4 linked regions of the Rhinolophus ferrumequinum genome follow. The protein of the gene in region 4 interacts with the protein of the main gene of each other region in a pairwise test. Links are inferred from orthologs where the notes say so. Each region holds a gene or a part of one and is shown on either strand. Other genes may lie near its edges. The genes, in order: SIRT6; fatty acid-binding protein, adipocyte; NOD2; VIM.

Region 1 (7,079 bases), on a different chromosome or scaffold from region 4:
CTCCCTCCAGGAGTGCTTCTCTTGCCAGGGGAGACAGGGGGACACAGACCCTTCCGCCCTGTGGGCTGGGATGGCCCAGTGGAGGCAGTGAGGGCTCCGTGTAGGGTCTGTGGGAAAGCTTCCTGGGAGGCTGAGCTGTCTCTTGAACTGTGAGAGGGAAGGGCACAGAAGTTCAGGCACGAGCGGTAAGCAAAAGTCTGGGAGGCTAGCAATAGCCTGTCAGTTGGGGAAATGCAAGTGGTACGGGGGCTGCAGCAGGGGCAAGAGGGGCTGAGGTTGGAGAGATGACCCAGGGCTGGGTCAGGTAAGGCTTGGAACTCTCCTGTGTGGCAATGGGGAGCCCTGGCAGGTTATGGAGGAGGGGTGGGAGAATCAAGCCTTAGAATTCTAACATTCCTCTAAAGAATCTGCTCTCTTTCTGTGGGAGCCTGGGCTGGGGGCCCAAGAGGCCTTGGAAAGAGAGTATAAATGCAACAGGTCTGTCCTTTGCGGCAGGGTTGCAAACTCAGCACCTGCAGGGGCCACCCAGGGGCCAACTGTTTGAAACCCCTGCTTTTCAGCTGTAAGACTCTTGTTACACAGGTTGCCTGAAGCAGAGAGGGGTTTAGACATTAACTGGTTTCATACCCTCATTTATGGGCGAGGAAACACGTTCAGAGGATTAAGCCACCAGGTCTGATAGAAAAATATTTTCAAGTGAGTATGGGGCTAATTGCCCCTGATATTGATTCTCCCCATCTTCTAGAGTAATAGTACCCCAATATTTAGACATTCACAGTGTGCCTAGATGAAAACTACATTTGCCAGCATCCCTTGTAGCTAGGTATGATCAGGTGACCAAGTTTTGGCCAATGGAGTGAGTGGGATGTTGGCTGAGACTTAAAGGAACAAGTCTAAAAGGGAGGGGTCTTTCCTATCCCCAACACCCAGGGGAGGAAAGACTATTCAAGATTCACTGAGGGGAAGGCAGCAGGATGTGTTCTGAGGCCCGGGCAACTGTGGCTCACAGGGAAGCCCTTGGAAGTTAACAGGTCCTGCTTCAACTTTCCCTCCACACCCACAGACCTGAAGTCGGGGATGCCCGCGGCAGTGCTGATGCCGGCACCCGTGTGGACCACCACGTTGGAGGACTGCCACACCAGCTTTGCCAGCTCCCACACCTTCCGCTCCAGCTCCTCGGGGGGGTCAAAGATCTGTGGTGTGAGAGAGCAGAGGGGAGCGGTCAAAACGTGTCCCTTAGTGGCAAGGCCACTGGCCACAGAAGAGCTGCCCCCACCTTGCCCACGGGAGGAGAGTGGATCTGAAAAGGAGGCTTATTGTCATGTCCCTCCTCTGCCCACAGCCCTCCAGGGCTCCTACCTTTCTCCGGGTAAAAGCCCAAATCCTCCCTGCAGCCTGCTGCCTAAAACACTCTTTCCTCAGACTCCCTCCGCTCACCTCCTTTAGGTCGTGGCTCAAAAGTCACCTCATTTGTACACCCAGGTTCAGAGCAGCACTATTTACAATGGCTAAAACATGGAAGCAACCCAAATCAATCAATGGATGGATAAACACAACGTGGTCCATCCATACGTTGGGAAATTATTCACTTTAGAAGGAAGGAAATTCTGACACCTGCTACAATGTGGATGAACCTTAGAACATTGTGCTGAGTGAAATAAGCCAGACACAAAAGGACAAATATTGTGTGATTCCACTTATATGAGGTCCCTAGAGTAGTCAGATCCATAAAGGCGGAAAGTAGAATGGTGGGTGCCAGGGGCTGGCGAAGAGAGAATTAAAGTTTAAATGGGACAGAGTTTCAGTTTGGGAAGATGAGAAAGTTCTGGATGGTGGGGATGGTTGCACACCCTTATTAATATACTTGATACCACTGAATGTACACTTAAAAATGGTTACGAAGTTAAATTTTATGAAAGATGTATTTTACCACAATAGAAAACATTGAAAAATGCCATCTCAGTGATGTGTCCCTGGCCACCTGGTTTCAATGCAGCCCCCAATTCTCCTCACCACTGCCAGCTTTACTTTTCTCCGTAGCTCCCATCTCACTTATATTTATTTGCTGCTGTCTGTCTCCCCACTGGAATGAGGGGTTTTTGCCTATTTTGTTTCCTGCTGTGGTCCCAGGATCTAGAAAGTGCCTGGTGGTACAGCAGGTGCTCAGTAAATGTTTGTGGAATAATGTGAATACAGGCAAGAGAGGAGTGCCTTTTCAGGAGGTTTCACACCATCTGAGAACTCCTCAACTTCCCGACTCAGGACGAACGGACTAGCTTTCAAGGGATGGGGGCAACCTTCCCCCAGCTTACAGAAGGGGAGAGGAGGCGCAGAAGGGAAGTGACAAGCCCCAAGTCTCAGTGTATGGAGGGGACTTCCTCTCGGAGTAGCTGGAGGGGTCTTTCTGACACATATTTACATCCATCCAGGTTCCTTCCCAGCTCAAAACCTGTTTCCATCACCCTCAGGATAAAGTGTCAATCTCCCAGGCTGGCATTTGGGGCCGGTCCTGACCGGGACTCTGGAAACCTCTCTGGCCTAATCTGTTCCCCCAAGTGTGTTTATTCCCACCTATCTCCCTGCCTTTGCCCCTGCAGGGCCCCCTCCGCCTAGAACTACATCCCCTCCTCCCCTATCGGAACTTCAGGACTTCCTCACGACGGTCCTTCCCTCTGTGCAAGCCTCGTGGACCCGGAGCTGGGCGTCTTCGCGTCCCCGAGTATGCTGGGGGCGTCACTTCCCGCCCCCTCCTCACTGGGAAGTCCCTCCCATTGTCTAGCCTCAGTGCCTCCTGATATTCCCACAATGCCCCGCTGCCGCCCGGCCCCGCCCGGTCCACCACCCTAGAGGGGGAGGCTTTCCGGTCCTCCCGCCGCGCTCACCTCGGGGAGGCCGCACTTGCCCTTGTCCGCGTACGGCGACAACCCCGCTGCGTAATTCACCGACATTCTCACCGCTCCAACGGGAACAATAAAGTTTCCCTTGTTGAGGCCACTTCCGCCGGAAATAGGGCTGCACGGGGAGGAACTAGGAGTCGCCGGCTCGCTCCCACCAAGGCGCATGCGCCTCACGTTGACGCCGCAGGCGCCATCTTAATTGCTGGTTAAAGAAGCCGCCTTACTTCTGCGAGTTCGCGTGAGACGGAGGGGGCTGTGACCCGGCCGAGAAGCTGGGGCAGCTGTGCGCGTGAGAGTTCTGCAGTCGCCTCTAAAAGGAGGAACACAATCCATTTTCCCTTTTTACAAATTAGTAAAGTGATGCTCCACTTCCACTCCTGCATGAGGGTAGAATCAGAGAGAAGGGACCCAGTCCTAGGTTCTTTCCGTTGCACCTTTCAGACATTTGTAAAGTTACAAGATAAGTTATAAAGTTCAGGATACCTGTGGCACGGAGCAACGTGGGGCCTCATTAGGGGAGGTCTTGGCCAACACTCTAAGTTATTTGAATATTTTTCAGGTGGATGGTAATCTCCACTCAGTAGGACAGGTCCAGACCACCAAGAGACTAGAGAAACTGCGCAAGGTCATTGGGGCTGGTGGCCTTCAGGACTCATTTAGGAAACACGTGTTGAATACCTACTGTGTGCTGAGGAGGCACTGGAAAACAAAGGTGGCACCTTGTGGCTAATTAGGGACACAACCCAGTGACTGGGCTGTCGTGACTTAGTGTGATTGGGGAGCAGTGAGGGCGCCGGGGAAATGCGGGAGCTCAAAGGAGGCACCTGACCCAGCCGGGGGCAATTCGGAAAGGATTTCTGGAGGAGAGGGTGTAGCAAAGATCTGAAGAGTGAGTAGCAGTGAGATGGGGAGAATGAGCAAGTTGGGGGTGACATGGGGTACAGAAAAAGTGTTCCTGGCAGAGGGAACAGCAAGTGTAAAGGCTGAGAGGAGAGAAAGACGGTGGCTCATTCCAGAAACTGAAATCAGTCCGGTGACGATAGGGAAGAACATCGGTGTCTTCCCGCCAGAGCCGGTTGGCCAACAGGCAGCCCCGCTGCCAACCTGTCTCCTCCCTCGGCTCATCCCCGGCCCCCTGGGGCAGCTGCCCGCTCAGAGGTGATCGGGTGTCGGAGCTGAGCGCACAGAGCTGCTGGTACGAGCTGGTGGCCCAGCTGGGAGCAGGTAACCGGAGCCAGCAGTGAACACGGTGGCCTGGTGCTGGAGTCACTGGAGCTGCAGGAGGTAGGAGAGGAAGGAAGGGAGGGAAGCCTGGGCCGGGGGCTCCCCTTAGGGTCTGAGGCTCCTTGTCCCTGAGCCCTGATATGTGGGAGCAAGGAGAAGCCCGTGTGTGTCCCAGCCACGCTGAGGAGCCTCTTAGGCGCCCTGACACACACACACAGTGGTTCGTGCACGCACCTCCCGCTTCCCAGCCTTGGCCTTGTCTAGGGTATGGACCCTGTTTTCCTGCTGCTGCTCAGTATCCTGCCGGCCTTCAGGCCCTGCTTCTATAGCATCACCTCTTCCAGGAAGCAGCTCCCTAGCTGAGGGCACTTCCCCCTCCCCCAAGCTCACAGATTCCCTCCTGCCCAGGCAACCTGTGGACTCCTCTCTTGGGTGTCTTATTACACTCTGCTCTGGGTGTGATTGAGTCCTTTAGACAGGGGCAAAGACAGGTGGGAAAGGTGGTGAGCAAAGCAGTACATTGAGTGAATGGAGTGAATTAAAGGGTGAATGAATGGATGGGCAGTAGATGGATGACTGGGTGATAGAGTGGATGGATGGATGGATAGGTGGACGGACGGGAAGGTGGATGGATGGTAAGTCGATAAGTCAGTGGAGGGTGGATGAGGATGGATGAGGGAATAGATGAGTGGGTGGGTGTTAGATATGTGGGTGAGCACATAGGTGGATGTGTAGGTGGATGGATTGATGGGCAGGTAGATAGGTGGGTGGTTAGGGGGGTGGATGGATGGATGGATAGGTGGATGGTGGGTGGTTAGGGGGCGGATGGATGGATGGATAGGTGGATGGTGGGTGGATGGTGGGTGGTGACTGAAGCATAGTTGAAGGGTGCATGAAGGACCATGAGAAAAATGAGTTGGGCAGGTGAGTTGGTGGGTGGGTATACAAGTGCTTGGATAGGGAGGTGGATGTACAAATGAGTAGATCGGTAGGTAGAAAGAAGGAAGGATGGCTTGGAGAAGTCACGGGCAGGTGGACAGGTGAAATCCTGTTCAGACACAGGAAAGAATCCCTACCCACACACCTAGCAACACATCCCTTCAAGACATCCCTGCCTGATCTCCATACCCACATGTGCATGGAACACAGAACAGGCCAAGGTGCATAGATGTGCATGCACACACACACCTCATGCTTGTGTGTGTGCACGTGCATGCACACATTTATCACCCCAGACCTCCGCCTGCCTTGGGTGACTTGTGTCTAGTCTCTCACTCACACAGAAGTCAGGCTGGTGTAAGGGATGTAGCTGCAAGGACGTTCTCTCTGACGATCCAAGAAACATACCTCTGTGCTAAGAGCCTCCGCTCTGGGCTTGGCCCCAAGGAGCCCCTAAGTATTCAGAAAGATTGAACCAGCTCAGACACCTTGAGCTTGTGGAGCCATGGCTGGGGCAGGAAAAGGGACCCAGCCAGGGCTGGGGGAACCCAATTTGGGGGGTTAGAGCTCTGCCTGCTGGTGAGAGGCAAAGTTGATCAGAGCACGGGGTTTTGGAACTAGGCTGTGTAGGATGAATAGGAGTTCACCAGAGAAGGAAAAAAGAAAGGCAGGTAGAAATTTCTAGGTAGAAATAACTGCACAGATGAAAGCTTGGAGACGAGAAAATGCTTGATCTGCTTGGGCCACAGGGAATACTAGTGAAGTGAATTATTGAGGACCTGTTAGCTGGGCCTGTGGTAGGGACCTCATGGAAAACTGACCACGAGATGGTCAAGAGGGGATTACCTTCCTCATTTTAAGGATGAGGGATGTGAAACTTAGAGAGGGCAAGTGACCTGCTGAAGGGCACACAGCAATTAGGAGATGCAGCAGGTAGGTCTCTGTCCTGCTGTAGGTGCTGGGATGGCCCAGTGAGGGGGAAGTGGTTCTTTTGAGGAGGGGGAGGTAGCCGACCCTCTGGCTCACCAGCACTGATGTCCCTCACCCCCTGCCCTTTCCCAGGTGGCCTGGGTTGCAGAGAAACACCAGACACTGGCCATGAAGACTCTCCGGGCACGATTTAAGAAGACAGAGGTGAGTGTGAGGCCACTGAGATGCCTGATGTCCCGCAACCTCAGGTTCCTGTCCTCCAGGGCCTGAATGAAGATCCACAGGCCTTGTGGGCTGTTTTCCCCCACCCATCAGATTCTTTTAGCAGCTTCCACATGACCCTCTCTGCTCAACACTCTTCCATGGTTCCTCACCACTCAAAGGTTCAAGTTTACCCCTTTAGCCTCTGGCCACCTCTCCTTCCCTTTCTCTCTACTGCCCCCTGCTGCCCCGATGTCCCCACTGCTTCCTGTTCAAGCTTTCTGGCCACCATACCTTTTCCCAGGCTGCTCCCTCTACCTGGAATGCCCTCTCCCCATATTGCTGCCTGTCATACCCTCCCCGTCCCTACCAAGTTGGCTCCAATAACGCTTCTTCCAGAAGATCTCTGCTCTCCCCAACTACAGTGACCACTTGCATTTCTGAGGACTCACTTTTTGGGGGACTCTGATCTCTTGCTTTTGTCTATTTATTCAGCACACATTTGTATCAGGCACTGTTCTAGGCACAGAACAGACATCAATGAATAGGGCAGACAGAAATCTTTGCCCTCTAGAGCTGAAAGCCTGGTGGGGGAGGTGGACGCTAAACAAGATCGATGAGAGAAAGGCATATTTTGTGTCATGGAGCAAAGAAAGCAAAGAAAGGAAATTGGAGTGTCCAGGGCAGGGGAGAGCATTGCGATTTCAAAGCGGCTTGTCAGCAAAGTCCTCGCCAGGAAGCTGATCTTAGAGCAAAGATCGTAAGGGAAAGAGAGAGGGCTTCGTGTGCTTATTTGAAGGAGTTGAATTCCAGGGGTAGGGAACAGCCAGTGCGAAGGCCCTGAGGTGGGATCGAGCTGGCTTCCCTTGCAGCTATATCTTGGAGTGT
Region 2 (7,962 bases), on a different chromosome or scaffold from region 4:
TAAAAAATTGTTAGAAAAATACCTCCATTTCCTCCAAAAGAAATAAACACATGCAGAGGTCAGGGGACGCATTCCATGGCGTCTGTCTGCAGTGGAGCAAAGAGCAAGGCGGTGGCCGGGACCCGAGCGAGCCTCTCCCAGGGTTTGGAGCCACGTCTCCATTCTCCACGTTGCCAAAGCAAAGCGAGACTCTAGCCTCTGAAGCCCCCTTCCCCACAGCTCTGGGGAAAGAGGCCGGCCTGCATGTGCATTTTCATGCTGTATTTGACTCCCTGTGACCAAAAGTGTAGTTACCCCTGTGGCAAGATGTACCTTGTTTAGGGGACCAGGTTCCACGTGAAGAAAGGAGCTGTCCATACCCTTCCTATACCGTGGCCTAATTTCTTTCCCGCTTTCCCATCGCTCACAGCCATTCTCTTTGCTCAGCCTCTCACCCTCTCTTAACTCGTGCCTTGTAAAAGAATTGACATCTGCTTGCTCTACCCTTTATCATCCACCATTCCTTGTGGCACTCCATTTTTGTCACACTCGGATTTGTGTTGTGGCAGTGTTCGCGTAAAACTCATACACGAGCATCAAGCATGATTATGTCCCCAAAACCCATATGTCATTCCTTCCGTGAATTAATGCATTAATCCAGTGAAAATTGGGGGAAATGAGGTGCTAAGAATTTTAAGCCATGGATGGGATAAAGTTCAAGATGGAGAACGGAGGTCAGGAGTGACGGGAAATTGGGAGAAAGGTATCTCTTATCCTTCATACATTTTATGTTAATAAAAGATACCAAAAGTGTGAAAAAAAATTAGGAGAGCAGCAAGTGCCCTTGTAGGGGGAAAAAAAAAGGAAATACGTATGTTAAGATGACTGTCAAAATAAAACATGTGAAAAGGCTTTGTATTTTATTCTGGCCCCAAGCTGGTCACTAGACAAGAACTTGCATCATTAAGAAGAGACAGAAATCACACGTTACTTTTTATTATATTCCCTCGCTGCACCTAGCACAGTGCCTTGGACGTACAGTAAGTTTGCAAAAAAGATTTTATGAAGATTATTTGCCAGTGTGAGCTTTCTACAATGAAATTGGGTTTGAAAATGTATGCGCATAATGCCATTTCTACTGGTTTTCAAGAAAGGATGAGCACTAAAGTCTGAATTCTCTTCGTTAATATGTAGGAAGGATATTCTTCAGAATGTTGAAACCAAGGTCGTCTAACATTGAAGTATTTTTTCCTTATTGTGACTTTTCTTATCATGTTCCACCTTATTCGCATACCAGCCCACTGACACTGTGGTGAAAGATGGTTATTTGATGAGGGAACATTCTCTCTTATCCGAGCAGTGGGATGAAGTCTTAGGAATTGAAATGAGGATAATTTATGGAGGATCTAGGCAGTAGCTTGCATTCCCAGTTGGACTGCAAAGCTGATGCATGAAATAAGAGGTGCGGGCCTTTGTGCTGAATTTCTGGACAGCTATTGTCTAGAAAAAATTCTCTCCCTACGTGATACTTAGTGGACTTGTGCACGGAGAAGGCGTGAGCATTTCATAGGATGACCCATGTGTTTGGAACAAAATCGAGCTGCTTCTAACGTCCCTTTGAGTAAGTAACTCTCTGGTTAGCCTATTTTTGTTCCTCCACACAACTGATCACACGACATTTCTTCAAGGGGACTCGACTACCCTTTCATATCATGGTGCTTTCATTGCTATTTATAATAAGTTACCAAGGCCCTTTCCTATTGTCACGGTTATTCTCATTTACCTAAAATCGTTCACACGCCTGTGGTTGTTTGTAGAAAATCTCAACTATGGCATTTCTCCAACAATGATCAGGTAGTAAATATGCTGACATAAAAACAGGAGGCTACTGATCTGCAAACATAGTCTTGCAGAATGTTACAGGGGTGTTGGTAGACCCCCCCCCAACCCACCTAATTAGGATTCCCTCCATGCGTTTTATTGAATACTTGATTACTTGCTATCCATCAGTGAACTATCTAGAGGCAAACCCCTGCCTTAATGGACCTTGGACTCTGCTCAGCAGGAACACACGTTTGTTTACATGTATGTGTGTGTGTATGTATGTATGTATTATGTATGTGTGTATACATACAAGTATGTATGTATTGTGTGTGTGTGTGTGTACATCTGTCATGATTTACTGTTGGAGTCGAGTTTGGGTGAAATTGTTATGAACAGGAAATGAACCGACAACTCCTGCTGTGCCCTGTGTCTGGATACTCTTTTCTGATCCTTCCGGGGCTGTTTTCTTGTCATCACTCAATTATGCACCTCCTTTGACCGACCTTCCTGGACCACCCCATCTAGAATTTTAAACTCAAAAATAGAGTCACGATAAGCCCTAGAAACCTACTACACAGTATGGGGAATATAGAAAACACTATTGTGTTATGATCATCAAACTTTCTAAGAGACTAGAACTTAATTATTCCAACTGCTAAGAAAGGATAATTATATAATAATTATCATCATTGTAGAGGTGCTAATTATTGCTACGGTGGCAATCATATTATAATACATAAATGTATCAAATTAACACGTTGTACCTTAAATTCGTACAATGGTATATGTCAAATATACTTTAATTGAGAAAACCTCAATAATAGGAAAACAAATTCGATCAAAAAATGGGCTTAAAGACCTTCACAGACACCTCACCAAAGAAGATAAAAAGATGGCAAATAAGCACATGAAAAGATGCTCCATATCACATGTCATCAGGGAAATGCAAACTGAAATGACAGTGAGACACCACTGCACACCTGTGAGAATGGCCCAAATCCAGACACTGACACCACCAAATGCCGGGAGCACATGGAGCCACAGGAATTCAGTGCTGGTGGGAATCAAACGGTGCAGCCCCTCTGGAGGACCGTTTGGTGGTTTCTAACAAAACTAAGCATACTCTTACCATATCATGCTCCTCAGTATTCACCCAAAAGAGTTGAAAACCCATGTCCACATGGATGTTTATAGCAGCTCTAGTCATAATCGCCAGAACTTGGACACAATGAAGATGCCCTTTAGTAGGTGACGGATAAACTGTGGTCCATCCAGACAGTGGGATATTATTCAGCACTAAACCTAAATGAGCTGTGAAGCCATGAAAAGACAGGAAAGAACATTAAATGCATGTGACTAAGTGAGAGAAGTCAATCTGAAAAGGCCACACGCTGTATGATTCCAACTCTATGACACTCTGGAAAAGGCACAACTATGGGGACAGTAAAAATAAGTGTTTGCCTGGGTGAGGAGCGGGCGTGTTTGAGAGGTGGGAGGGAGGTGAACAGGCAGAGCACAGAGGTTTTGAGGGCAGTGACACCACTCTGTATGTCACTATAATTATGGATCCATGTCATTATACACAAAATGTCCAAAAACACAGAGCGTACAACACCAAGGGGGAATCCTAGGGTAAGCTATAGACTTTGCGTGACTCTGATGTGTCCATGTAGGTTCGTTCTTGGTAAAAGTACCGTTCTGAGCGACGCTGATAATGAGGGAAGCTGTGCACGTGTGGTTGAGGGGCAGGCGATGAATCGGAAATCTCTGGACCTTCTTCTCAATTTCATTGTAAATCTAAAACCTCTCTCAAAAAATAGCCTTAACAAAACAAAACAAAACAACAAAACAAAAAAGTAAACCATTATTAATTTAGAACGTTGTCAGAGTTATCCCCGTATGAAGATTGGCCATTTTTATTTCCTGTTCAACAGGAAACAGAGGAATTTATCATCGCAAGCCTTCCTGGGGTGGTACATCACCCACAGGTCTTGTATCTGTGCAGCAGACCAGAATGGATGCATGTGTCACTGTGCCATTAACAAATGCAACGATTAAAGATTACTATTGTATCCTCTGCCCCAAACATTCTGGGAAGTTCTGGGTCTGCCAGCCGACGGTACACTCAGCAGATATGGTGCCGTGGGACACACAGCACGCATCCATCCTTCCACGACACTGCCGTTTTTCTTTCCTACAATCTGGGTATGTTCACGGGAGTTTGCACATGGGAACATTTTGATCATTCTGGAATGGAGGGGGTGCGAACCGAAAACCATGGTTTCTTTAGAAAAGTAATCTCAAGAATTATTCACTATGGAAAAGCAGGAAATAAGATTTTGATAGTTTGTGACCGGATCACTTGTGATTGTTTTCAAGTAAAGTGGCCCCTTTTAGTTCTGGATAAATTTAGAGCTCAGAATATAATTTAGGAAATGAATAAATTTTCTCAGTATAAGGAGCATATTTTGGATAGGGTCCTATTTTTTAAGGAGTTTGTGGAAATCAAGTATCTATGCTCTCATCGAGGGTTTGGAAGAGTGAGGTTAAATTATTACTTATCAATGAAATCTACAGTCCGGATGCCTGGTGGATTAATTGAATTTACTTTTCCTTCTTTATTCATGCAAAACATTTTAAATGAGAAACCTGGGGTACTTTAAAATGCCATTAGTTATTTTGTTTTAATTGCCAGGTAATTCCTGAGACAGGGCTGTCCAAAAGAGCCTCTGCAATTACTTAAGGATCTCCAAGATAAGTCATACATTTCTCTGTTTAAAATAACCACAGAACTGTAATTGTAATAGAAAGTCCAGAAAAAGGGATCAAAGTTCGTCTTAAGATAATTATCCTCCTTTACACTGGGGTAAATATGTATGAAAATAATAGGGGGAAATTCACTGCACTGAGTCTCAAACCATCAAAACAGGAATGTTTCAAATATTCTGTTCATAGTTAAAAATAATTTGTCATCTATGTCCAATGACCATTTGCCAGGGAGAACCAAAGTTGAGAGATTTCTATTATAAACATGACTCAGAGGAAAAAATGCAGAGGCTGGAAATGAAGGAAATGGTCTGATGTCATTCCCAATTGGTCATTGCTCAGATCACGTGTTTTGGGCACCTTTAAAAGGCAGTTATTTGGCCTGAAGACGGCAAAGCACCTTTTTGAAAGCTGCAGCTTCTTTCCCACCTTGAAGAATCATCCTAGAGAGCCCACAAAATGTGTGATGCATTTGTAGGTACCTGGAAACTTGTCTCCAGTGAAAACTTTGATGATTACATGAAAGAAGTGGGTAAGAAAATGCTTTGTGGGGAGCTGGATCTATGACTGTTTCTCTGGGGGCAAAAGGGGCTTATAGCTGTTTTTCACACTGGAAGCACCGGCCAGATATGAAATGCTGCTTTCTATACAGAGGTTCTAAAAATAGCAAGTAAGAATCATTTGTTTGTAGAAACTTTCTTGACCAAAGTCACAAGTACAGGTGAATGATTACGAAAAAGGGTCTAAATGGAATTTTTATGGTGTATAGCAATGACAAGATTTTATTGGACTGCTAAACTTGGGTATCTTGGGTTTACTTGGCTCTTTGTCTGCTTTTCTTTCATTCCCTCTTGCATATAAAATATGCAGTATTTATTTCCTAGTATGCAATAATTTCCATTTGAAATGGAAAGCATTATGCTTCTCATCGTTAATGTAAATTTTTTCGGTAAACATATGCCAACTAATTATTTTATTGTCTTAATGTCAATGGATTAAAAATGTGTGGTTGTGGTATGGGAGACAAAAAAAAAATCTTAATTTCAGAGAACTTGTTCCTTAAAGGGCTTAAATACTTCTTTGACTAGAAATTACGTGGGATGCTATAGAATCACTGAGTGATTTAAAAGGAGAATGTTACATATGTGACACACCCCCTCTCTGATAATGGAGGCTTCCAGGGTTTTAGATTCTGCTAACGTTGCTGAATCTAAAATTGTTCCCCAGATAATTACGGGGGAAAAGCAAGGGTGTAGGAAGGCAGATTCTCACTCAGGCACCTTGTACCTTGAAAGCTCCTCTCCTCACAACCCCCATGCATGACCAAGGGGAGCGAATCAGAAAGGAGCTTTTTCACAATATCTTTATTAGGGGATATGATTTAAGCCCTAAATCGCAAGACTTAACTTTCCCCTAAGTCATGTAGCATATTTTTGCTTGTGTGTAACCACTATTTTTCTTGTTTATAGACAAAAGGGAAACCAGGGACCTCAGCACGAGTGAGACCTAACTTTCTAGAATGTCAACTAGTTGTGGTTCTGGGACCGAATGTGTGCTGACATAGAAAGGCCAGGATCTGAGGCGATTTAGCGATTGACTTTCAGAAATGCTTTACACTTTCAATATTGACAGTTAGATTCTTGTACCACTGCATTTTAAAATTCTAAATGACTGAAGATAAGGAAAAACATAAGATGCCTCCTGAAATTAGATGCTGTAATTAATGAACCCTAAGCAGGTATGGCCTTCAGCAGTCAAATAAGGAAGGAATCAAGCAAGTGGAGAATGTGATGTCCAAGGTGGTCCACTCTGGTATCGCACTTGACATTGCATCCATCTCTATGCTGACTCACTCCATGCATCTGATGTTACATTTTGTAACAGAGCCAGGACTTGAAGCTACATATTATCTTCCCACTTGTGGCCACTTCTCAGACAGGGGGCGAAATCAGAGCCTCGGCATCATTTGTTTTGTACAGTGTTTCTCTTCTATATCTATATCTGGTAACTGTAAGTAGCTTTTAGTCAAAAAAGTAGCTTAGATTTATATACGTGTGTTTTTTAAAAAATCCAACACATCTATGACAGTCGTAAATTCTGTAGAACCTATACCTTGAGAGCAAGTTACTGCTGTATATTGTAAATTGTTCACCCCATACCTTTCCAGAGAAAAATATATTCCTCTTCAAGAAAAAGAGGAGTTTGAACTTAGGTGGTTGACAATCAAAGTATTGACTTCTAAACTTACTAAAATGGTGATTTCTTAAGTTTTGAAGTTTTCACAATTGATTCCTAGACCCTTTAACCTTTCCTATAAGTTATTCGGAGTAATATCCCCATTCTAAAATTCTGTGAATGTAAGAAACATTTGCCTTTGCAGAAATTCAACAAAGTCTTCATTTCATCATGGCATAATCTGGAAAAGCCAAGTAAATGAGACTGGGCAGCAAATGCTACAAAAATGTGATTTTTGTACACCTAAACAGATGATTTTTTTTTTACACCGGGTCACTCTATATTGGCCTCCAAATCCTACTGAGAATTCTGTCTTTGACTGTGGATTAGATCACATTTTTTTATTCTAAGAAAAATAAGTTAGGGTGCCCCAAATATTTCGTGAATTGAGTAAAAGGACAGCTGCTGCCCTCATGGTTGAGGTTGGCCACTGAATTTTGAGAGTGCAGTGACTTTTTAAAAAATATGTACCTCCCCGAAGACTTAACCGTTGTCCATATTCTTGTTTAAAATTAACCATGGGTCTCCTGAGGAGCTGCATGTGAGGCCCTGAAGGGGAAATCTAAAGGATGGATCTGCAGCTAGTTGTGCTTTGTGTGTTTCTTTAAATATTGGCCTGCCTTACTTGTCTGCAGGAGCTGTGTGAGTGAGGTGATAAGGAAAACTCACCAGTGGCTTTCCCTTTAACGCACACGCACACCCACCTACACAAACACACATACAACACACAAAAACACACGTACACACATACATACACACAGGTACACACACGTACACACACATACAAACGTACACACGCACACACACGCGCACACACGTGCACACATGTACACACACGTGCACACACGTATACACACGCACACACGCACACACATACACGCATACACACATGCACACACGCACACACGTGCACACACACACGCACACACACATACACACACGTACACACGCGCACACACACGCACACACACACGTGTGTACACCACAGTTCTTCCTGAAAGGTGAGAGAGAACATTGTACATGTGACGCTGTTTTCTCCCCCCCGTAGGCGTGGGCTTTGCCACCCGGAAGGTGGCTGGCATGGCCAAACCAAACATGATCATCACTGTGAACGGAGATGTAATCACCATCAAGTCAGAAAGCACCTTTAAAAATACT
Region 3 (7,293 bases), on a different chromosome or scaffold from region 4:
GGTGTGCAGTGGTACCTCGTCATGGTTTTCAGTTGCGTTTCCCTCACGACTAGTGATGCTGAGTGTCTTGTCGTGGGCTTGTTGCCATCTTTATATCCTCATTGGTGAGGTGTCTGTTCAAGTCCAGTGCTCCTTATTTGACTGGATTATTTTCTTAACGGTCTGTCGGTGTTCTTTATGTATTCTTGGGGTATATGTACCTCTCAGTCTCCTTTTCCATCTTGTGGTTTGCATTTCTACTTTCTTAATGGAGTATTTTGATGAATAGAAGCTGCCAGCTTCAAAGTATTCAACCATCTCAATGTTGTCTTTCACAGCCAGCGTCACACCTCCAGGTCCTAGGGATTTCTCCTTTATTGTTTTTTTAGCGTTACTTCTGCAACTTCACGCAGGCCATGGTGAGGCTTAAGACGAGGTAAGATGGGCAGAGCGCTTGGAGCGATGCTGGCAGACAGCAAGCACTGTACAAGTGCTGGCAATTCTGATTAATTAAAAGCCTTTCAGTTTGCTTGTCTCATCTGGGGCTGTCATGCACTGCAAGTAGGTCATTGTACATGGTGTGAGGTAGGGGTGCAAAGCTTTATCCCCCCCATGTTTACCTCCTGGTCTTCTTTATTGGAATGGCCGTCCGCTGCTGTGCAGTGTGCCATCACTGTTACAGACAGAACATCCACACACGTCAGGGTCTGTTTAGCTCAAGGGGGTGGGGGGCCCTGAAGCGTGCTGCTGGCCTGCTAGCCGGTGAGCCCCTTGAGTCCAAGGGCCTTGTCTCATTCTTCTGTGGCTGTGCTGCCCTGCAGGTGGCCTGGTGTAGTGAGGGGACATGGGCTCTGTGTGGAGCGAGGCTGGAACGCTGTCTCCCCTCCTTTCTTTGGGGCTCGCCCTGCAGCTTTCCAATTTTCTCCCTCACTCTCTGCCTGGGCCTGGAACCTTCCAGATGCCAGGGGCAGACACAGAGCCCTTTTTGGCAGCCCTCAGAACTTCTGACCCAGCCACCAGCCACCATCGGGGAGAGCGTGTGGAAGCCGCTGCTTCCTGTTCTGGGGCAAGGGACGCTCTTTGGAAAGCCCCGGACACACACGGGTGTCTGGCCTGAGAAGGAAGAACCCAGCTGGAGCAGAGTGACGGGAAGAGGCCATGTTTACGCACCTGCCCACTGCTGGCTTTTCTCTTTAGCACAGAGCTCTAGTAGGACAGGCAAGGCCTCACTGTCATTGTGGGGGGACATAGGAGTGGGCAGCCCCCCACTGTAGTGCTGGAACCACTGTAGATGGTGAAGAGGGGCCACCAAGGCGTCCTGGCGAGACAGGAAAGGAAATGCTGGCATCTCGGAGTGTCGGTGTCTCTTCTGGAATTCAAATGGCCTGGACCCTGCGGTGGCATCTCACTGCATTTGGAGCAAAGTCAGAGCCCCACCTGAGGCTCCCTGGTCTGCTGCTGGCTCCCCTCCTACCTTGTTTGGCACCCCTTCCGGCATCACTTACGCACAGCAGCCATCCAGGCTGCTTTCTGTCCTTAGACGTGCCTCACAGGCTTTGCCCTCGCAGTTCCTTCAGCCAGCAATGCCCTTCCCATGGTTCCTTCCACGGCTGACTTTTCTCATCCCCAGGGTGCAGTTTGGTTGTCTGACTCTTGAATGGCCTTCCCCGACCCGCTCTGTCAAGTCCTATCCTTGTTGTGTTTGTTTACTTGTTTATTGCAGTTCTCAAAACCGTGACGGCAGAGACTTTGTCTGTGTCAGCACTCTGCCCCCAGCACCTACTGCAGCCGTATGGTGGGTGCTCATTCATTGCTGTGTGAATGAACGAATGAATGAGTGAGTGAGTGGGGCATGCAGAGAGTGGTGATGGGGGCTGTGGCTCCAGCTCAGCCCTGACGCACTGTGTGTCCTAGACAGGCCACCACCCCTCTCTGAATTTCAATTTCCCTAACTGTAACATGAGATAAAACTAAGGATCCCCCTCACGCCATTGGGCAAGTAACCAAACCCCATGAACTACCACTGACTACTGCTCCGGGCCTCGGACGGGCTTAGGACTCCAAAACCAACACGCTATTTTTGGTCAGTTTGACAAGAATTAATCACTCACAGGTGTGCCTCCACAACGGTGCAAAGAAAACCCAAACCGGTGAGGTGTTTGTAGGAGACACAAAATCCAGCCAAGTCCATCTTACTTTTCTACCATTGAGAGTCCACACACAAGCCTTTTAAAAGTCTCAAAGGTTCTTCTACCATATGGTCCAGCAATTCCACTTCTAGGTATTTATCTAAAGAAAACGAAAACACTAACTTGAAAAGATATCATGTTCTTTTGGGTGAGAGACTGACACCAAAGACAATAAATAAGTAAATATCTAGTATGTTGTGTGCAGATAAGTGTTACGGAGAAAAATAATTAAGCAGGGAGAGGGGTGCAGGGGAGGGGGTTGCAATTAGACAGGGAATGGTCAGGGAAGGCCTCCTTGAGAAAGTCACATTTCAGCAAAGACCTGAAAGGAGGGAAGGAGGGAGCCATGGAGGTGTCTAGAGGAAGAGCATTCCAGGCAGAGGGAACAGCAGATGCAAAGGCCCAGAGGTGGTGGCAGGTCTGCCCTACTCCAGGAGCAGCCAGGAGGCCAGTGGGCTCGAGCAGACAGTGCACAACGGAGCGAGTGAGGACGGGCCCCGAGAGGGTGCTGCGTGGAAATAGCAATCGAAAGGATTTTCCTTGGCTTTGGCTCTGAGGTGGGAGTCATCGCAGGGGTTTCAGCAGAGGAGTGACCCATAATTTGACCCTTTTTTACGCAGACTCACTATGGCTGCTGCTGGAATCCTGGAGGACGGCTAGGAGCTCTTGCCAGAACCCAGGTGAGAGATGATGGAGAACGGGACCCAGGTAGTCATGGTGCATCTAGTAAGAAGTGGCTGCGTTCCACGTGTATTTTGAAGATCAAGCTGGAAAACTTACTCCCAGGTTGGATGTGAGGTATGAGAGAGAAGATGAGTGGGCTACGTTTTCCAGTGGCCCTGGCAGTTTTCTTAAGTAACCCGTGATTGTGCATTGAGAAGGTTTCCAGCTTTTCACTGTTATAAAGAAGAGGTGGTGAGCATGCCTGTGGACAGATCTGTACCCCACGTGGAATGATTTCCCTGGGCTAGTTGCAGTCCTTCTAACACAGCATTTCCCAACCCCAGCCCACTGCGTACTACTTGTGTAGGTAATTAGCTGGAGGCAGTGTGGGATGGTGGTTAGAGTATTGCCAGATGCCGGGGGGCAGATCGTGGCACTGGGGTCACTACTCGGACCGATTAACTTTTCTGTGCCTCGGTTTCTTTATCTATACATTGGGGACGATGACAGTCAATATCCCGGAGATTGGATTCACTGAGTTAATGTATGTAAAGCCTGGTCCATAGTAAGCACTATGTGAATGTCCGTTCTTTAAATTGACTTCACATTTAAAAACTACCAAGTGCAAGTGTTTTAAAAGGCACATTGATATTAATACCTTCAATGGAAGGTGTCACTTGCTCAGAAATCATACAATAAATTTAACCGAATGGAAACAAAACAGTGCTGTTAAATTCTGGTTGGATGTTACTCAGAGCCCTGTAGACTAGGCAGGCAGTGTTAGAGAGGCGTGGGAGCCCTGTTTGTATGAAACTGACGCGGCTCTCCTCAACTTAAACAGAACGATCAAAAGAAAAAGAAAAAAAAGAATTACTTTAAATGCCCGGTCTGCTCTCAGCTGACATGTAACCCATAACATTGCGGAAAAGCAGGGCTCTGGGACATCATAATAATCAGGCTTTAGATGACTTTGGGCTTACTGACCCATCAAAGGGTGTGTGGGTTATTCAGGCACCGAGAGCTTTGCTAGCTTTTCATTTCACAGGATGCCTTATGTGTATGGGTGTGTGTGTGTGTATGTGTGTGTGTGAGAGAGAGAGAGAGAGAGAGAGAGAGAGAGAGAGAGAGGGAGAGAGAGAGAGGGAGAGAGAGAGAGAGAGAGAGAGAAGGAGGGAGAGTTGAGAGTTGGGAGGGAGACTTGTCCTGAGAGACTCTCAACGTTCCCTCCAGTTGAAAGGTGGTCCAGAAAGGGGGATACACTTGGCCTGGGTCACACAGCCAGGGCCTTGCAGTCCTACAGGCAGCCCCGCCACTTCCCTGCCAGCTCTCGCTCCCATCTGAGGAGAGCTCCTAGCCGCCCGGGTGCTGCGGGAGGGCTCGCAGGACAGGAGGGACTTGGCTGGCTGGGCAGGTGGGCGGGGCCGAGAGCGGGGGCGGGATCAGGCGGGGACGGATCCCAGCGTAGGAGCCTCCCAGGCCAGGACTTAGCCGTGAGTTTTGCCTCCGACGAGGGTGCGGAGAAATCCGGGCGCCTGCGGCTCCGAGGTGAGTGCTCCAGGGCCCAGCTCGTGAGACAGCAGGCGCCGAGGAGGGTCCCACCCCCGGGACTCCTGGCTTCGGAGCTGTCCTGGCCGGTGGGCAGAGGGAGAGGCTGCCTCGGTTTTCCCTTGGCGGGGTTTCAGGGATCTAGACGGGAGGTAGACAGAAAGAGGGCATCTCGAAGTTAGGGAGCCCCCTGGAGGGCGGTGACTACAGAAGATGAGAAGGCTTGGGGGCGTTTCTGGGCCCCAGGAGCCTTTGAGGTCTGGAGAGAGGCAGTGATTTTCAGGTGGTGGGGAGTGTGGAGGGAGAGTCAGCAGGATGAGAATCCCCGAGGCACAGGGCTGACCTGGGAATGAGGAGGCCAGGCTTCAGGTCTCAGAGGGGCCTGCTCTCCGTGAGTCCCTTCCTCTCTCCGGGCCTCAGTTTCCCAATCTTACCATGCCTGTGAATAGGTGGGTGCAAGTGAGTAAGTGTCTGGATGACCTCTCACCCTTCCTGCAGCCTGTGACTCTTGGATGGCTCAGCCCCATCCCTACCAGACAGGCCCATACCCTCTGTGCCATTGGCCCTCTCCTTTGCTCCTCATGTTGGGGGCCAGCCAACTGGTCCTACTTGCTTCCCAGCACTAAACCGCCCCCCCCCCCCTGCCCCAGTCCCCTCAGAGAGGGCCTCCCACAGCCGGATCCCTGACTCTGTGTTGGCTCTGGTTTCTCACCCACTTCCTGAGCCCTTGGGCTTCTCCCTGCCATGGCCTTGGTCTCCTCATGGGTTATTCCCTGGCCACAGGGTCCTTATTCCACAGAGGGGAATAACCTGCCATGTCACCCGTCCCCTGATCCCTTGGTGAAGACCAGAGTGACATTTCCATCACCTCTGCTCTCCTGCCTCTAAGTTTGTCGGTCACTCAAGTCCCCTTTGCCAATCTGAGGCTGGAAAGGACCCCATCTCACCCACTACCTCCCACCCAGTGCAGGACCCCTCTGCTGTGTATGCTCAGTGATGCTGAACTTGTTACTTACGAGGTGCTGTTCTGTGGCCTGCAGCTCTCATTTCATCTAGCTAACATCTGTGGCTTGCAGATTCCATCCTTTCGTTCCACTTCTGCCTCCTGGAACCATGCAAAGTAAATTCATTCTTTTATTCATTCAAACACTCTTTATCAATGCACTGGGTGAGACACTGGGGATAGAGCAATAAAAAAAGTCCGGCAAAACTCCCTGCCTTCATGGAGTTCCTATTCTAGAGAGGAGTCAGACAGCAGTCAAATAAGTGAATACATGATACGTCAGGTGGTGAGAAATAAAGCAGGTGAGGAGGATGAGCATAGGCAGGCATGTCCTCTCTGAGACGGCGACAACTAAGCAAGGCCTTGAAGGAGTTTGGGGGTGGAGTTTCGGGAATATCTGGGGGGAAGGACAGTGTACCCACATAGGGACAAGCAGAAGGTCCTCAGGCAGAAGCATGACAGGCAGGAGCAGGTATGTCTTGTTCTAGGAACAAGGAGGGGGACAGTGTGGCTGGAGCAGGGTGGGTGAAGAACCAGTGTGGGACGAGTGGGAAAGAAGTACAGAGAGGTAAGGGCTGGGGGGCGGGGTCCGTTGCCTGGGCCGAGGAGGCCGCTGGGAGAGCTTGGTTTTCACTCTGAGTGCCGAGAGAACCACCGAGAGAGCCACCGGAGGGCTTTGAGCAGAGCTGTCACCTGCTCTGACTTAGGGGTTAGCAGGTTCACCTGGTTGTGGGCGGGACAATAGGCTATAGGGGGTGAGAGCAGAAGGGGGACCCGTGAGGGGACCACAGCTGTCATTCTGGGGAGAGGCCGTGAGAGCTTATACCCAGGGCGTAGAGGTGGTGAAATGTCAGATTTTCAGATTTGGGATATATTTTGAAGACCGTAGGGTGGAGAGGATTAGGGATGCAAGAGAAAGGGGGCGTCAAGGGTGACGCGGGTGGTGGGGTGGAGTCTGGCCTGAGCACCTGGAAGTTTGGAGCTGCCATCGACTGAGATGGGAGCTGTTTACGGGAAGATTTGGTTTGGTGCTTGTTAAGCAGGAGATGCCCGTTAGCACCCATGCGAAGACGGCCAGGACGCAGTTGGGAAAAGTTTAGTAGAGAGGTTGGAGCTGGAAATAAAATTTTGGATGATATCACCACATACCTGGCATTTAAAGCTATAAGAGCTGGTGAGTCCACTTAGGGAGAGAGTGATATGGAGAAAAGAAGTCCAACCAGGGAGCTCCGGGGCTCCCAGCATTAGGAACCAACCAAGGAGTCAGAAAGAGCAGCCAGGGAGATGGGAGGAAAAGTTGGAGAGTTGGGGTGTCCTGGAGGCAATGAGGAAGGTGCTTCAAGGAGGAGGGGGGCAATGAGGACAGATGCCTTTGACAGAGCAAGCAAGCTGAGGGCTGACAGTCAAGCCATGCAGAGGTCACTGGTAACTGTGACAAAAGCAATTGGGGATTAGGGAAGACAGGATTGGCAGGGCGGGGAGGAGAGGCGTTGGGGACAGCAGTACAGACAACAGACAAGGAGTCCTGCGGTGAAGGGGCAGAGAAATGGGATTGGAGCCAGAGGGAAGTGGGTGTGGAGGGAGGGCTTTACTTTTGGGGTGAAGTTACAGTCTGTTTGCGTGCTGGTGGGAAACTCTTTTAGAGAGAAGCTTGGTGAAGGGGGCCAGAATAGAGGATGGCTGCAGGGCTGGGGGGGGGTGGGGGTTGGATCCAGTGCCCCAGGGGAAGCTTGGGCCCAGCCGAGAGCCAGTGCAGTTCAGAAGCTGGGGATCCCAGGGCCTCCCTCCCTCTTCTGTCTGCAGGGGCCCAGCAGGCTGAGATTTCAACTGAAGCCTGAGCATCCGTCAGCTGCCCCAGATTCAGTGCAGTGTGTTCGGGAAGGGCCCTGCTTACTCAAAGCTCATCCTGGTGGA
Region 4 (7,030 bases):
CTTAGTTTCAGAATGACTGATCAAAACTTTTGCATATAATGAAACTACTGTATATGTAGAATTCTTGCTACTTTGGCTCTCCTTCTGAGTTCCCACTGTGTTACAACTCAGATTTTATTTCCCCTCAAGGGAATATCATAAGGATTTTTATACCTCTGATCTTGTAAGCGGTTATCTTTGGAGTATAGTTTTATAGCCTTATCGTCTTAAAATGTTGATACTTCTTCTACCTTTATGGGAATGTAACTGAGGAATGGGTGATGATTTAAAAATAATGAGGCTTTGGAAAAATTCATTTTTGCTTGTTAGTAAGCCCTAAAAAAAAGATGTAAGAAATAACTTGCTAGCCTCTATTTTAAAAAGTATAATGTGACATTCTACTTCATTGAAGAGAATATGAGGAATGTTACTTAATCCCTAAACAGATCTTTTATACTAATACTGTTTTATGTTAACTCACTACCCTGAAAAACATTACAAATATGATGATCATAAATGCCCAATGACTAAAATGACCACACATTGCTGTGTTTAAATTATTTTGGCAAATGTATTTCTGCTTCAAATTGTTATTCAGCTATGCTGGGAACTCTTCCTGCTTTTGAATTCCAACTTTAAGTTTAAAAAAATCCTTTAAATCCATCTAACTTTGGAGCAAAAACAAACAAAAAAACAACACAAAAAACCCCTTTAATTAAAATTCCATTTTTCAGCCTTGGGGTTATTCTTTATTTATGGAGAGAAGTTAAAAAGTATTAAGACCTTTCCAAATGTGAGGCATGATTGTAGCTTTAAGAACTTTTCACATCACATACTTCACAAGTCTGGGCCAGATATTAGATAACGGATGTTAGCAAATACTTGTGTCCAATTAGAATTGTGCTTACATCATTACATATTCAATAAGAATGTAGCCTGTTGCAAAGCTTCTCTGGGAACACAAAGACTCCTATTATTTCTGTCCAGAGCCATCACACTAGCCAGAGTCTGTATCTACATTCCATAGTGAAGCCCAGAGAAACCATTAATACCTTTCAGCCAGAGGACAGATGGCTCCTTTTCACACTTATTAGACCACAAAATAGTTGTGCATAGCGATACTTCCATCTAATTTTAATGCCACAATAGAATTTGCAAAGGAGAAAACCTTGCTGGCTTCGTTCCAGTTAAGCTAACTTTCTTATCCTCCAACACGTTTTACATTTTTAACTACAGGGCAGAATTGCGCTTTTTGTGGCTTTGTAAAAAGTTAGCCAACTTGACTTCACAAACAGCAATCTCACTCAAACTGTAACTGTTGTAAATCAGATTATCAATGTGTTGCAAGAAATAAACGGAAAAAATATTTCTTTGGAAAAAATCTGGAAACAAAGTAAAAAGTTAAAGACTCTGTCCTTAAGAACAATCATCCTAGGGATTTTATCGAGGAAGCTCCAATCTGGGGTCTTTTTGCCACTAGGGGGCTTTGCGCACAGACGTGAAGTTTTGCACTCTTAGACTTGGGGTAACTTTTAGAATTGCGCGTGGCTTGGGTTGGTTGGGTGGGGTCCAGTGGCTGCGAATGGGAAGAGGATCTACAAACCTGTCTGAAAGACTGCAGGGTTCCCTCGGCATCCTCTCTCTGAAGCATCTCCTCCTGCAATCTGAAACAGTTGCACATTAACCAGAGGGGAACTGGGAAACCGCCAGGGGCGGGGCGGCCACACCCAACCACCAAGTCGCTGTGCAGCGAGACAATAGTTGCTGCGCCACCTCCGCGGGCACCCAGCGACTGCAGCTTTCGGAACTGTCACCCTCGACAAGTTTTAGCGGGACTTGGGTCGCAGAGTAGAAAAGCAATCACGGTGGTCGCAGGGACCTACCTGCAAGGCGAACGCCGTCACCCCGTCCCCGAGAAGCCTCTGCAACCCCTTTGTCTAGCTTCCGGCACAGTTTCTACCCCCCCCCACCCCCGCCTCAGGGCTGGCAGTCCGCCAGAAGGGGCCAGGAAACTTTCTAAGAGTTTGAACGAACTGCGCTCATCGTTTGCAAGGGCCTTCAACTAACAACTGGCACTTTCAAAAAAAAATGCAACCTGAAACGGGCGTTCTTAAGCAATGAGTGGGTGTAGAGGGGAACTGCAAAGTCTGGGTTCCGGGCCGGGCTGAGCCATCGCAGCCACATCCCCGCTTCGCTGCTATCCCCCCTCCCCCCCCCACCCCCCGCTGCCGCCGCCCCGGTTACATCCCCAAGGGCGTGGCAGCTCCTCTTGGGGGGGGGCGCGAACCCCTCTCCCTCCCTCCCGCGGCCCCGCGTGGGCGTCGCCTTACTTCTCCCGGAGCCGCATAACGTCCTCGGCCAGGTTGTCGCGCTCCACCTCGACGCGGGCCTTGTCGTTGGTGAGCTGGTCCACCTGCCGGCGCAGCTCCCGCATCTCCTCCTCGTAGAGGTCCCCCAGTCGCGACTTGCCCTGGCCCTTGAGCTGCTCGAGCTCGGCCAGCAGGATCTTGTTCTGTTGCTCCAGGAAGCGCACCTTGTCGATGTAGTTGGCGAAGCGGTCATTCAGCTCCTGCAACTCCACCTTCTCGTTCGTGCGGGTGTTCTTGAACTCGGTGTTGATGGCGTCGGCCAGCGAGAAGTCCACCGAGTCCTGCAGCAGCCGCAAGCCCGGGACACCGCTCCGCAGGCGGACCGCCGAGGAGCGCGTAGCGTACATACCGCCGGGGGCCGAGGCGTAGACGCTGCGGCTGGTGCTGGGGCGCAGAGCGCTGCCCAGACTGTAGCTGCGGGTGGACGAGGTCACGTAGCTCCGGCTGGAGCTCGGCCGGCTGGCGGTGCCGGGGCCGCCGAACATCCTGCGGTAGGAGGACGAGGACATGGACCTGGTGGACATGGCTGCGGAGGGTGGCAATGGGCTGGGTGGCTGTGGCGGCGCGGACTGGCTCCGGGCAGAGGCGAGCAAGGGCGCGGTGGGTGTGGGCGGTGGGAACGCTGCTGCGTCTCTGGCGCGGAGACCCTGGAGCGAGAGTGGCAGAGGACGGGACCCCGCCGAGGGCGCAGTTTTTATAACGTTGATGGTAAAGGGTCCCCTCCCACCTCCATCCGGAGTTCGCCAGCCAATGGGGACCCGGCGAGTAGCGGGAAGGGTGGGAGGGGGTTGGGGCGTGGGCACTTTGGAGTCTTCCTCCTCCCTGCTCCTCGGCTCTCGCGACTGAGCATGGTCCCGTTACTTCTTGGCTGGGCAGGGACTTTTGGGGGCTTTCCTGATGATGGCCTGAGCTCTGCTCACCCCTGGGTGCTGAAAAAGGCGGGGTCGCACGTTGGTGGGGGAACGCACCCAAGACTGGATCAAAGGGGTCCCGGGCACCTCGCCAAAGAGGCGTGGGAGGAGGCGCGCAATTGGGAGGGGCGGGTGGCTACAAGAGCGGTCGGGGAGCGGGTGGGTGCGGAGACGCACCGGCAAAGGAGTAGGAAGAGGGGGAGTAAGGGATCCAGCAGATTGGAAGGCGTGGTAACAGAAACAAAGAGCGCCTGAGATTGGAGCGCGAGGTGGGGGGCGCACAGCCCAGGACGCAGGGCTCGGGCCCCGGTGCCGCCTCGCGTGTTGGGCTTGGAAAGGGATCGCTCTGGCCCGCATCTCTTTTTACCCTTTCGCCTTAGGGTTCCTGTTCAGGGACGTGACGGGCTTGGTCCGGCTTTGGACCGCGTGAGCTTCGAGGCGGCGACCCCAGGGAGTGGGGTGGGGTCGTTGAGTCACTGGCAGTGAGTCACTGTGCTCTCTGCCTGCCTAGGTTGAGGGCTCCTAGCGGTTTGCGGGAACCGTTAGACGGGATTGACTCAGGTCTCCCCGGGCCCCGCGCGCACTGGTTTTCCAAGTTTTACCCAACTTCGAGGCGGGCCGCCGCATTCTTGTGTGTAGTTCTCTGGTAGGGGAGACTACAGCGCCTCGGAGTTCTTAAGAACTCGCCAAAGCCTGATTTTGCTCCAATGTGCGGACTTCTTAGCAAGAAACATATGCAGACCCTGGATAGCCGCCCAAACACGGGTTTTTTCTTGCCAAGTTTCTTCCCACTCTCCCCTCGGGTCTCCTCTCGGCCTCCCCCACTCCCCCCCCACGAAACCACACCCAACTTTGAACAAGATCTGAAACTTCTGGGTGAAAGAGGAAACTCAGCGTCCGTAGTTTCAAAATCAAATTCAGTGATCACTGGTTTTTGTGCTACAGTGGAAGTCATTAAAGGTATAATCTGCGCCAATTATAGAATTAATTAAGTGTTGCTTTAAAACTCCAATTTGATTAATGAAAAGCAATTATGTGACTCAAAGGTCATAATGTTTGGGGGGAGGATCGATTTATGTGTTCATTTAGCTGTGCACACTGCAGGATTCTGGTGACGTGTCTGGGAAATGCCACAGGTTCTTTCGGCCTGTTTTCCAGAAGAATTTGGGCAGAGAAAACTGTCTACAGAACAAAAAGCGTTTAGTCCAGAGCACCAAGGGAGTGTTCAGAGTCCATGACCAAAACCTTTCTAGGTAAATCACTCAAGGGCTATTGTTGCAATATTAGAAACATGCAGAACAAAGTTACCTCTAAAGGGAGATGAAGAGAGTGAAGGCGAGCCAGTCTTTTTGAATTAAGTAGCAATGTAAAAAATCAGGGTTTTTTGTTTGTTTGTTTGTTTTTGAGTGCATAGAAAATTTAGGGAGTACTGAAAGGATTAATTCCAAAACCTCTGTAAAAACAGAAGCATCTTGATTCTATAGTGAATAGGTGAGGTGGGGGGGGGGGAATAAGTAAAACCCTCCTTCTGGCTCTTGTATTTTTTTTTCTTTTTTGCAGAGGGGTACTGCAGGTTACCTAGCATTTAAGAAAAATAGTGTAGAACCAACTGAAGGTTTTATTCTAGCTTCTTTGTACAAGCGTCTTTCAGGCAATATTTTGTTTACCTCATTTCAGTTACTTCTGCCCTAGTGCACTGCCAGAGTTGAGCTGCAGGACCCTTTGCTACACAGCTCCCCTGCTGTGGGTTTCCTTTATTCTCTCTGACACTGGGAGGCTGTGTATCCCTCCCAAGGAGCATTCCTGGGGCTCAGTGCCCTCGCAAACCAGCTTATGCTCCACGTTATCATCTTGCTCTCTGAGAGCCCTTTATTTAAGCCACTGGTCAGGAAATGTCACCATTGTGAGTTTGCCTGGAACCCTTAGAATGAGAAAAAGTCCTCTCAATATGGGGGGAAAGAGGGTGGACCTTCCTCCCACCTAAAATGCTGATCCCAGGGCAATGCAGTGGTGACGCTTGCTATCAGGGGACGCTTGCTGACTGACTCACCATGGAAAATGAGGGCAAGGCTCTGGTGCAGCGTGGCCAGTGCCCTGCTGGTGACCACAGCAGATTCCTCAGGGCTGTGGTGACTTCCTCTGGGATGGACTCTGGACCTCCTCACCATCTCAGGGGTATCCCTTCTCCAATCTGATTTTTCAGGACTGTGATGTATTCACTTGCTGTCACAGCTCAGGCTGCTATGACAAAATACCACAGATGGCGTGGCACACAGAATACACATTTCTTTCTCACACTTCTGGAGGCAGGAAGTCCAAGATCAAGGTGCCCACAGATTTGGTGTCTGATGAGGACCTGCTTCCTGGTTTGCAGACAGCTGCCTTCTTGCTGTGTCCTCACATGAAGTGCAGGGGAAGCAAACACTGGCCTCTCCCTTTTCTTATAAGGGCACTAATCCCGTCATGGGGCTTTACTCTAAACTGCACATCTAAAACCTCATCACCTCTCAAAGGCCCCACCTCCAAATACCATCACTTTGGAGATTAGGGTTCTAACATAGGAATTTCGGGGTAGAGTACAAACATTCAGCCCATTGCACTGGCCATACAGCGAGTGTGTGCGTGTACACACACACACACACACACACACAGTCTCTGGTGTGTGCTTCCTATTAGAAATTGCCATAGCTTGGGGTGGACTATAGAGTGTAGAAAAGTGAAGGTTACAAAAACACTTTTACTCATTTATATAGAATGCATGAGACTTTGGAAAGAAGTAAATGCATTGGGAAGTAAATTATACAATGTCTATCTAGCGCAATGCCCCGACCAGTGGATGACAGTCATCGCTGAGGGAAATCAGTATGTTTGAAGTAACATCCTTGAATATGATTAACTCATCCTGCTTACTTTTTGGAAGCAAGCAGGATATAGACATAGCTTTTTCAGTTTTCATATTTACTTATGATTGCTGTGAAATACCTATCTCAGAGTAGCTTTAAATGCTGGACTGTGAAGCTGCTTCAAACACTGCATGATGCAGGTTGTGTATAAATAAGGACACAAAGGTGCAATTTGTAGGCCAGGTGTAAACATCACCAAATCTAAAGTACTGACAGTGATTTTGGAATTTGCCAGCTGTAGTAATTTCAGTTGCATTGGGTGATGAGAACTGACGGACCAGCCAGCCATGAGGAGAGGAGCTCAGTGGCCTGTGGGAGCTTTAGGAGAGCTGGCTGGCAGGTAGCCGTGCCAAGAGGACAGCTTCTAGCAGGATCGCCTGGATGGAATGTTAGAAATGAGCAAGTGGATTAAGTGAGATGGTGAAAAGCATGGCAAACCTAAAAGGTATGGAAGCAAAGATAACAATACTATGATAAATGCCTGTTTTCTGTGCCCACTGGATGACCTGAACTTTGCATGGACTTAATTTAATGCTCTCACAACATCCTGTGAGATAGAGTTGATCATCCATTGCATACATGAAGTGTCTAAAATGCAGGCTAACAATTTGCTCACGGTCTTTAACTAGTAGGAGAGAGGAAGGGAGCAAGAATTTGGACTGAGTCCAAATGCATTTTTTCTTTTCTCTTTGCCATGATGATTTTGCTTACTGTCAACCAGTTCAATTCACAAATATTATTTAGGGCCCGACTGTGTTCTAGGAACTGAAAAGAGAAAAGACAGGATAATTATCAATTATGTTGTGCAGGAGCAGATTCCCAGAGGAGTCTGGCAGATATTAAGAAATGTTTTATGTTATTCAGATGT

What was found.
Region 1: the proteins of VIM (region 4) and SIRT6 interact in a two-hybrid assay, tested with the Homo sapiens proteins (2 studies listed by BioGRID and IntAct). The link is inferred for Rhinolophus ferrumequinum from reciprocal best matches to the Homo sapiens genes VIM and SIRT6.
Region 2: the proteins of VIM (region 4) and fatty acid-binding protein, adipocyte interact in a two-hybrid assay, tested with the Homo sapiens proteins (2 studies listed by BioGRID and IntAct). The link is inferred for Rhinolophus ferrumequinum from reciprocal best matches to the Homo sapiens genes VIM and FABP4.
Region 3: the proteins of VIM (region 4) and NOD2 interact in binary tests that used the Homo sapiens proteins (3 or more experiments, as listed by UniProt). The link is inferred for Rhinolophus ferrumequinum from reciprocal best matches to the Homo sapiens genes VIM and NOD2.

What each region holds. Positions count from the first base shown.
Region 1 is NC_046301.1:59,431,376-59,438,454, reverse strand, and holds the start of SIRT6 (NAD-dependent protein deacylase sirtuin-6), read right to left. Parts: upstream 3,001-7,079; 5' UTR 2,949-3,000; coding exon 2,883-2,948; intron 1,952-2,882; exon of another isoform or gene 1,946-1,951; coding exon of another isoform or gene 1,931-1,945; intron 1,194-1,930; coding exon 1,066-1,193; intron 1-1,065. Other genes in the region: ANKRD24 (ankyrin repeat domain-containing protein 24), read left to right, coding at 6,159-6,194. UniProt on the Homo sapiens protein: NAD-dependent protein deacetylase, deacylase and mono-ADP-ribosyltransferase that plays an essential role in DNA damage repair, telomere maintenance, metabolic homeostasis, inflammation, tumorigenesis and aging.
Region 2 is NC_046297.1:4,231,784-4,239,745, forward strand, and holds the start of fatty acid-binding protein, adipocyte, read left to right. Parts: upstream 1-4,944; 5' UTR 4,945-5,028; coding exon 5,029-5,101; intron 5,102-7,852; coding exon 7,853-7,962.
Region 3 is NC_046298.1:5,222,426-5,229,718, forward strand, and holds the start of NOD2 (nucleotide-binding oligomerization domain-containing protein 2), read left to right. Parts: upstream 1-4,287; 5' UTR 4,288-4,376; intron 4,377-7,182; 5' UTR 7,183-7,293. UniProt on the Homo sapiens protein: Pattern recognition receptor (PRR) that detects bacterial peptidoglycan fragments and other danger signals and plays an important role in gastrointestinal immunity.
Region 4 is NW_022680355.1:3,291,818-3,298,847, reverse strand, and holds the start of VIM (vimentin), read right to left. Parts: upstream 3,010-7,030; 5' UTR 2,873-3,009; coding exon 2,310-2,872; intron 1,644-2,309; coding exon 1,583-1,643; intron 1-1,582. UniProt on the Homo sapiens protein: Vimentins are class-III intermediate filaments found in various non-epithelial cells, especially mesenchymal cells. Vimentin is attached to the nucleus, endoplasmic reticulum, and mitochondria, either laterally or terminally.